2 linked regions of the Struthio camelus genome follow. The protein of the gene in region 1 purifies or fractionates together with the protein of each later gene. This does not show direct contact. Links are inferred from orthologs where the notes say so. Each region holds a gene or a part of one and is shown on either strand. Other genes may lie near its edges.

Region 1 (3,910 bases):
AGGTTGCTAGTGTTCAGGCCACGCTTGCTTCAACAGAAGCAACCACAAGAAAAAGTGGCCGTCACGCTCTTCATTTATATTCATAATTTGTTGTATCCACGGCTAGCTCTACTGAAAAGCCTGTCCGGATGAGATGACACCATCGCTCCTGAACTTCAGTCATCAGAGGTAACATGCTATGTATACGTACATCCCATGTCATAGCTTAATTCCCGACATATTAGCAAATTTGCTGAAACGGCAACATTAAATTGTTTTAAACAAACGTTAAATCGAAAGGCGCCACTCTTTTTAACGGCTCTGTCTAATGCCAGCTACACAGCTCCCACACGCTTCTCCCACCGCCGAAGCGGGTTTCATACTCTGCTCCCGAGAGCCTCCCAGACCGCAGGGCCCCGCGCGGGGGGGGGCCGCCCCAGCCCCAGCCCGCACCGTTTCTACGACCTTTTAATCGAGTCAGGACTCTCGCCGGCAGCTCCGGCCCCTCCGAGCCCGCACCTGCGCCCGCCTCGGGGGGGGGGGGGGGGCCGAGGGCGCCGCCCGCGCGGCGCCCGGCCTCCCAGCGACCCCCGGCCGCAGCGCCAGACCCCGCCCGGCGCCCGCGCTCCGCCGGGCAGCGGCCCCGCTCCGGGCCTGCGGGGCGCCGCCGCGCCGCTCCGCCGAGGGGGCGGCGGCCACACGCAGCCCCTCAGACGTCCCCGGGGGGGGGGGGCGGAAAGGAGGCGGCGCGGCAGCGGCGGCAGCGGCGCCCCCCCCCCGCGGGCACCCTCCCCACCCCCCCGGCGCTCACCGTGGCTGAGGGGCTCCGCGCGCCGCGGCGCACGCACCGACGCCACAGCGGGCGCGACGGCTGCCTCGCGCCGCCTTATACGGGGGGCGGGGCGGGGCCGGCAGCGGCTGACGGGGCGCGCGCGCGGGGCGGGGCGTTAGCGGCGGCCGCCCCTCGCCGGGAGCGCTCGCCGGGGCGAAGCTGAGGTAAAAGTTCCCCCCCTCCTCCGGCTGCCGCCTCAGCTCGGCCCCGCCGGCGGCGAGGTGCGGGCGTGAGGCAGCAGCCGCCCGGCGGGGCCCCGACAGCCGGACCCGGGCCCCGGGCTCGCCCGCGGCTGCTGGGCCCGGGCGGCCCCTCAGGCCCGCCGAGGAGCGCCGCCACGGAGCCGCCGGGGCGGGGGGCGCCAGGCCGCGCCGCGTGTGCGAAGGCGGCTGTGCTAGAGCTGTGCCCCGGGAAAAGGCCCTTCCGCGGCTCCTGCCGCAGCAGTGCGCCACGACCGCTGCGCCGCAGACCCCGGGGGCAGCGCTGTGCTTGTTTGTGCTGACAGCATCCGGCTGGGCCTGGGCGCACCGCACGAAGAGCCCAACCCGAGCAGGGCTGGGCTCGTTCCCCCTGAGGTCATCCCTTCCCAAACGTGTTCTGTACGATCTCGTTCCCACCGTCTCCACCATATTTAGTAAATCACCCTATGGGGGCATAGTAACGGCGTAACTGCATCAGGAAGTTGCCCAAAATAGGGTTCCTCCCGGCTTCCGCTGCACTGATCGTTACTGATGTCACAGCAAGATGACCATGGAGCGTTCACTTCTCTGATGTGGTAGGACGGTTGCTGGCAAAACAGCTCTCAGCTTGTTTGACAATCGTTTGAAGTCTTAAGAGCTGCAGCCAAGGAAGCTTGGAGGGAATAGAGCGTGACAGGCGTTCAGAAGTTGCTGTGCACTTTGTGCCTACACAAGCACCCGCTTTACAGTGTTCAGATCCTGGTTTATATCCTGCACGGCTTTCGAGTGAGGAAAAGTAATTGTTCCCTGCACTAACACTCTGTCTGCCATGGGCTTGTGACAGTCATGAATGTGTTGTCCCCTTTCCATTCTCATTCAATGACAAGCTAAATATTACCCAGTACCTAGAAGGATACAGTCGGCACCTGATCTGTACTCACTTTCAAAACTGTCCGCATATGAGACATGTTTTTCCTGGAAGCTGTGCAGCCCTGCTCACACAGTTTGGTGTCTTAGTAGGCCTTCCTAAAATTGCAGTCTAGATGGTGATGCTGGACTGCTCCTGAATCCTAATTAGCCAGTCTGGAGCATTAGCAGAGCGGCTGTCTTGTACAGAGCACCCTAAGCATGCCTCCTTGTAGTTTTGTTTTTTAAAAGAAAGTGCAAGATCAAGTACTACCAGGGGTTTACCTTCACTATTAATAACGAATGGTCTGGCTGGTCTGACAGAGCAACGTTGGCCATGACAGTAACTAATCTTTCTGTCAACAGATGCAGAGGTAGGCTCTGGGGCAGAACTTTCATATGATGTTTAAATCCCATTGAGATACTTGAATCCCTACGGACACGCTTGTTTTACATACGTAACCACAAACGGGCACTCCACTGTGTGATATGAGTGTCCTAACAGCAAGACATTCACGTTAGCGAGAAAGGTCAGGCCCTTTTGTACAAAAAGTGTGAATGCAATTATGACAGAACTGACTGGTAAAAGTCATACAGCAATAGCACAGCTCTAAGCCGTAAGAGAAGCCCAGCAATCTCTTTTAGCATAATTTGAAAACTTTTTGTCCTTGCAAAACTTTTGGTGATTTGTAACCCAAATTTAGTAAATCACACGGAGAACAAAGTAGATTCATTCACATCAGTTTCTTGTCTTTGCTAATGGGCTGCTTGATCTGTGCAGAATTATAGCATGGGAAAGTTTCCAGTCTGCTATGAAGAAAGCACAGGGCAGTTAATCCTTCAGAACTGCTTGAAACCTTCTCCTCTTACTTCGTCACTTCCACCTGTCCCCAATTAATGCTTAAGGCTTATAGCTAGGGCAGGGCCCTAGGTACCCCTGATCCTCACAGCTGGAGAGCACAAAGAACTCCGTTTAGTATTTTACAGGGAACTCGTGAAGCATACTGGCAGACTCGGTTAAAGCAATCAAGTAGCATGCTTTTCAGCTGTGCTAGTAATGAGAAATTGAAAGTTTTCTCCAATTCATTTATTGTTGTGCCTTAGCTATGCACAAGTAATTAAGAACTATGAACATGCAACCTGCTCGTATAGGAAATAGTTTTCTTTTCCTAGCAAACAATATTACATTTTTTTCTATGAGATGAAATATTTTCAACATTCATATTGTGTGCAAACATTCAGCAGTTTTCTGAATTGTATACCATCATTTAAAGCACTCTCCTGCTTTGACACTTTGTTATCACAGCACTCAACAATTTAAACCGTTACATATACTTGTTGACCTCACTGGGAATTATATGCAGAATTCCAATGTCAGCTATAATCATTGTCACAGTCAACCTGATCTTTTTGCTAGAGCTAATCTTATCCCTAGCATAGTTTCTAGAAATGCTGATTTTAACAGTTGCTAATTATAGAGATTCTTTGGTTTCTCTTCAGGAACTATACAACTGTTAGAGAAATTCACTATCAGATTAAGATTTACCTGTATTTTATTTTGCTAGAGATAAACTGTTTCCACTGTTGCAAATTCACATCATGTCCCTCAACTTCAGATAGTTAACATAGATGTTTTAAACCTACCTCTTTCAGAGCTTCCTTCTGTTGGTTACGCTCTCCAAGTATATTCTTGGTATTTCCATTAGCTATGGGATTTTGGATGGCTGCTCTCAGTGCTCGTTCCTTTAATTAGGGACGTGCATTGCGTTACTTCTGAAGTGGTAGCTAGCAAAATAAAATGCTCTTATTTCCTCTGTTCCTACTTGGAAAGACAACAGATGTGCTTTCACTGGATCTATGGTGCCTGTTCAGTTTTCTGTTGCTTTGTAGCTCTCTTTGGTGCAAAATGTCTTTAATAATCATTTTTGCACTCCAGAAAGTTTATCAGGGAGACAGACAATTCCATAGAGCATTTTCTCATGTGTCTTTAAGTCTATAAGGGATTCTTAAAGAG
Region 2 (3,910 bases), on another chromosome or scaffold:
TACGAACATTTACAACTACAGAGCTCAGACTAAAGCACCCTGCTTTATTTAGTTTTCCTAGCCCAGCTCTTCCAGTTGTCCTCTGCTGGTGGGGAAGGCCAGTGGGCAGGGAATCCTGTGTGATTCACAGGGCACTGTGAAAGGCAGGATGAATTCAGACCACGTGCAAAAATATCACAGAACTAGACCCTTTAAACGGGAATGTATATAAAGAAAGACTGCTCAGAAACACCACTGAATGGTAATTTGAGGATGACCTCAGACGTTCACCAGAAATGCTAACATGCTCCCTCATCAACACGCTGCTGTTGCTTGTAAGTTTGAGATTTTTTTTTTTTGAGAAAAAGGAAAGTCTTTATGACACTGTTACATTGATTCCAAACTAGGCTTTTGCAAGCTATCCCTTTTCCTCCTCTGGTGTTCTCAGGCTCTCCTGGCTTGGCTGTTACATCAGGTCAGCTCCTTACACAATGTGCAACTTCCTTCCTCCGCTGAGTGCCCTCGCAAGGCAACACCATCTCAGCCCGGCTGGAAAGGCTTTTCTTCATGTCAATGAATCTTACTTTTCCTTCTGCCAGTTTTTACCGAGTTCTGTGATCCCCAAGGCACTCTGGACATGAAGTGGTTAGGCAGGGACCCTCGAGGCTTGAGGAGAAGCCCCTGGCCTTCAGAGGTGCAGGAAAGACACCAACGATCTAAACAGCAGGGTTAGGCAGACCTTTTTAAAAAAAGAAAAGGAAAGAAAAGAAAAATCCCTGATGATTTCTTTCGTTCATCTCTTGTTAGCTCAGACGAGCTGCTCGAGCGGGGCAGGGGAGGCTCGGCCCCGCCTCAGGACCCTCCTCCCGTCGGGGCGGGCAGAGGCCCGTCGCGGCGGGCGGGCGGGCCCTGAGGCGGGGCGGGCCCGCGCGCGCCCCCCCGCCCGGCGCGCGTCTCCGGGTGGGCCGCGGAGCGGGCGCCAATCAGGAGGCGCGCCCGCCTCCCGGGGGGTGGGCGCGGCGCGGGGGGTTCCCGCCAATCAGGGCGGGGGAGGGCGCGCGCGCTGCGGCGAAGCCAGGGGAGGGGGCGGGGCGGGGCGGCGGCGGCGGCGGGGAGGGCGCGGGCTCGGCTCGCCGGCGCGGTCATGGCGGCTTCTCCCGTCGAGGTGTTCGGGCTGCCCGGCGAGGAGGTGAGCCTGGCGGGGCCGCCCCGCTCTCCCCGCGTCCCGTCGCGCCGGAAGGCGGGCGGCGGCTTCCCCGCGGGGTGGGCCCGGCCCGGCCCGGCCCGGCCCGGCGGAGCGGAGCCCGGCAGGTCCCGCCGCCGCCGCCTCGCTCGCGGAGCCGGGGCGGCAGCGCGGCCCTGCGCAGGCTGCCGCAGCGCCGTGCCGCCCCCTCCGCCGGGCGGGCGGGCGCGGTGACCCGGTCGGTACCGCGCCGGGCGGGCGAGGAGCGCTGGCGGATCGAGCCTTTGTTTCCGGCCGCGTCGGAGCCGCTGTCTGAGCGGTTGGGGTGGCGCGGGCGGGGCGGCCGCGGGGGAGGCAGCGGGGCGCGGGCGGCGCGGGCCTCGGCCAGCAGCGCCCGCTCGTTCTGAGCGTTACCTGCGTTGGGGGGGGGGGGGCGGCCTGTCCCCTTCCGCTCCCCCCTTCAGTCGCAGCGCTTTCCCTCAGACAGCTGTGCGGTGACCTGGGCGACATGTCGGTACTGTTGTTTTCGAGCCAGCAGGGCGTTTCACCAAGATTGTCTTCGATCGGCTCTTTCTGTGTCCCTCGGTGATGTTCTCTCTGTCAACGCGCCTTTGTTGCGGGCTTAGCAGGGTTGTTTTGTTCTTTTAACTTTGAAATACTCTTCCTAGTCTGTTAGCCTGACAGAAGGCTAACGTCTTCCTGAAGTCTGTTAGCTGTAATTGGTGTATTACTTCTCCAGAAGTAACCAAAAAGCTCTAATAAGTTAATTTTTCTTCTTAAAAACTTCAGTGGGGTAGGAACTCTCCTAGAAAATTAGCCCAACATGCTGTTAGGGCTGTCCAGCACTTCCATTGGAAGATCCTGTTTTCAGTTGCTTGCAACTTTCTGAGGCTATCCACTTGGACTGAAATATTCCATGCCTCAGGCTCTGTATTTTAATTTATTTTATTAAATTTCAGCCAGCTTAATTGTTGCTTAGCCTGCCTGCTGTGGGGAAGAAATTTTGAAATCGGCTCACAATTGAACAATTCTACTTTTCCTACATCCTTTGGAACATGAAGTCTTTGGAGGGAGGGGGAGGAAAGAAAGTTGTATGTAACGATTCTTTCATATTTAACTATTTCCACAACTTAAAAGCTTAGCCACACTTTCTCAAGTTACAGTTTTTTAAAACACAGTTTGTTTACCATCAGAGACTTTGATATTCAGTTGCTGTATATTGATAAACACTTAAAGAACATGTGCGGTTTTCTTCATAGTTTCAGTGTATGACTATACGTGCACAAATGATAAAATGGATAGTCTTTGGGTTATAGAAAATCTGCTGCCAGCTGCTTTGGACTAGGGTGCTAGAATTAAAACTAGAGTTCCTATCTCCCTGGATTCTCTTCTTTTTTTTCTTCCCAGAGTTTAAATCTGCAAAATTGCCTTCACAGAATTACAGTAAAGACACAGAATTAGAAAACCAAACCATACAGAAAAGAAAGAAGTAGTATCAAGGAGCTGTCTGTAAACTCCTTCTCCACACCAGTACACCTGCACCTTGATCTGCAGCCTTTCCATAGTTTATGTCTGGACCCTGCTTTTCCCGCGGGGCTGCTGTTTGACCCATTCCACGAGAGAGGTTTGCTTGGGATATGGTTTGAAGTTGTCTGCTTACCTCTGGAGGGCTTGGTCTAATTGTTGAGGCAGCTGAATGCAGCATTGGAGACTTCCACCCCCCCTCCCCCCCTTCCAGAATTTATCCCTGATAGCTTGCTTAATGGTGTATTAGTCATTCAGACCCTTAGTACGGGGCTGTTAATATCATGTTGCTGGCACAATGAAAATGTTGGCAAAGAGGCTGGGGTCAGAAGGAAGCTGTAGCTTAGGGCACGGTGTATACAGCTGGATATTGTGTATGCTGTGTTTAGGTATCTGAATTTCAGTGCCAAATTGTAGCAAATGCAATTGGTCTTAATTTTTCCGGTTCAGTTTTTATTCTATAAAATGGATATAATACCATTCTGTCACCAGTAGGACTTTTGTGGCTCACTTGGATGTTGAAAGAGTGAGCACTAGAAAAGCAGCCCATGAGGAGAATTAATAATTTTGTATTCAGAATGGGGTCTTAACAGTATGTGCAAAACAAGGTCTGGGATCACATGCTGAAAGAAGAAGAGAGAAGAAGATACAGAATAGTTGCTTGTTGAATACTACCTGGTTTGTTTCCTTAGTAAACAACAGTTGTTGTCTCTTAGAAAGTGTGACCTATGGTTGTATCAAAGGTTCTGGCAAGATGAAATACGCAGTAGCAGGCTAAAATAAATATGCAGTAGGAACAAAATTATAGTTGCCCAGTGATCACAATTCCTGGTACCGTTCGGCTTTTTTTGACGAAGTTATATCGAAGAACAAGACTGAATACTAATCAAGTGTCTAAAATCTGTTTTTATTGTAAACTATTCTACATTGCAGGAATAGTATATAGAAAAAAGACAAAAGAGATTACTCCTTTCTCAATCCAGGAAAATAAAGAGCTTTTACAAAGATTTTTAAGATTAATTTTTCTCCTCTCATTTACCTTGCCTTGAAAAGGAAAGAAACACTTTAAAGTGCGTTTCCCACCTTCAGGTCAGACTTTCTCTCCGTGCACTTTGCTTGAGGCCACTTGAAAAAAAATCAGTTGGGAGCATTAACTGCTGCAGACTTTGTCTTGACCTGTGAAGTGGGTAACTGTTCCTGTTATTGCATACAAGTATATGTCTG

Evidence for each region.
Region 2: the proteins of LITAF (region 1) and NEDD4 purify together in Homo sapiens (co-immunoprecipitation; 4 studies listed by BioGRID and IntAct, counting the BioPlex papers as one, with this or other methods). This does not show direct contact. The link is inferred for Struthio camelus from reciprocal best matches to the Homo sapiens genes LITAF and NEDD4.

Annotation. Positions count from the first base shown.
Region 1 is NC_090956.1:12,993,390-12,997,299, forward strand, and holds the start of LITAF (lipopolysaccharide-induced tumor necrosis factor-alpha factor), read left to right. Parts: upstream 1-897; 5' UTR 898-975; intron 976-3,910.
Region 2 is NC_090953.1:16,358,529-16,362,438, reverse strand, and holds the start of NEDD4 (E3 ubiquitin-protein ligase NEDD4), read left to right. Parts: upstream 1-1,069; 5' UTR 1,070-1,123; coding exon of another isoform or gene 1,124-1,168; intron 1,169-3,910. UniProt on the Homo sapiens protein: E3 ubiquitin-protein ligase which accepts ubiquitin from an E2 ubiquitin-conjugating enzyme in the form of a thioester and then directly transfers the ubiquitin to targeted substrates. Specifically ubiquitinates 'Lys-63' in target proteins.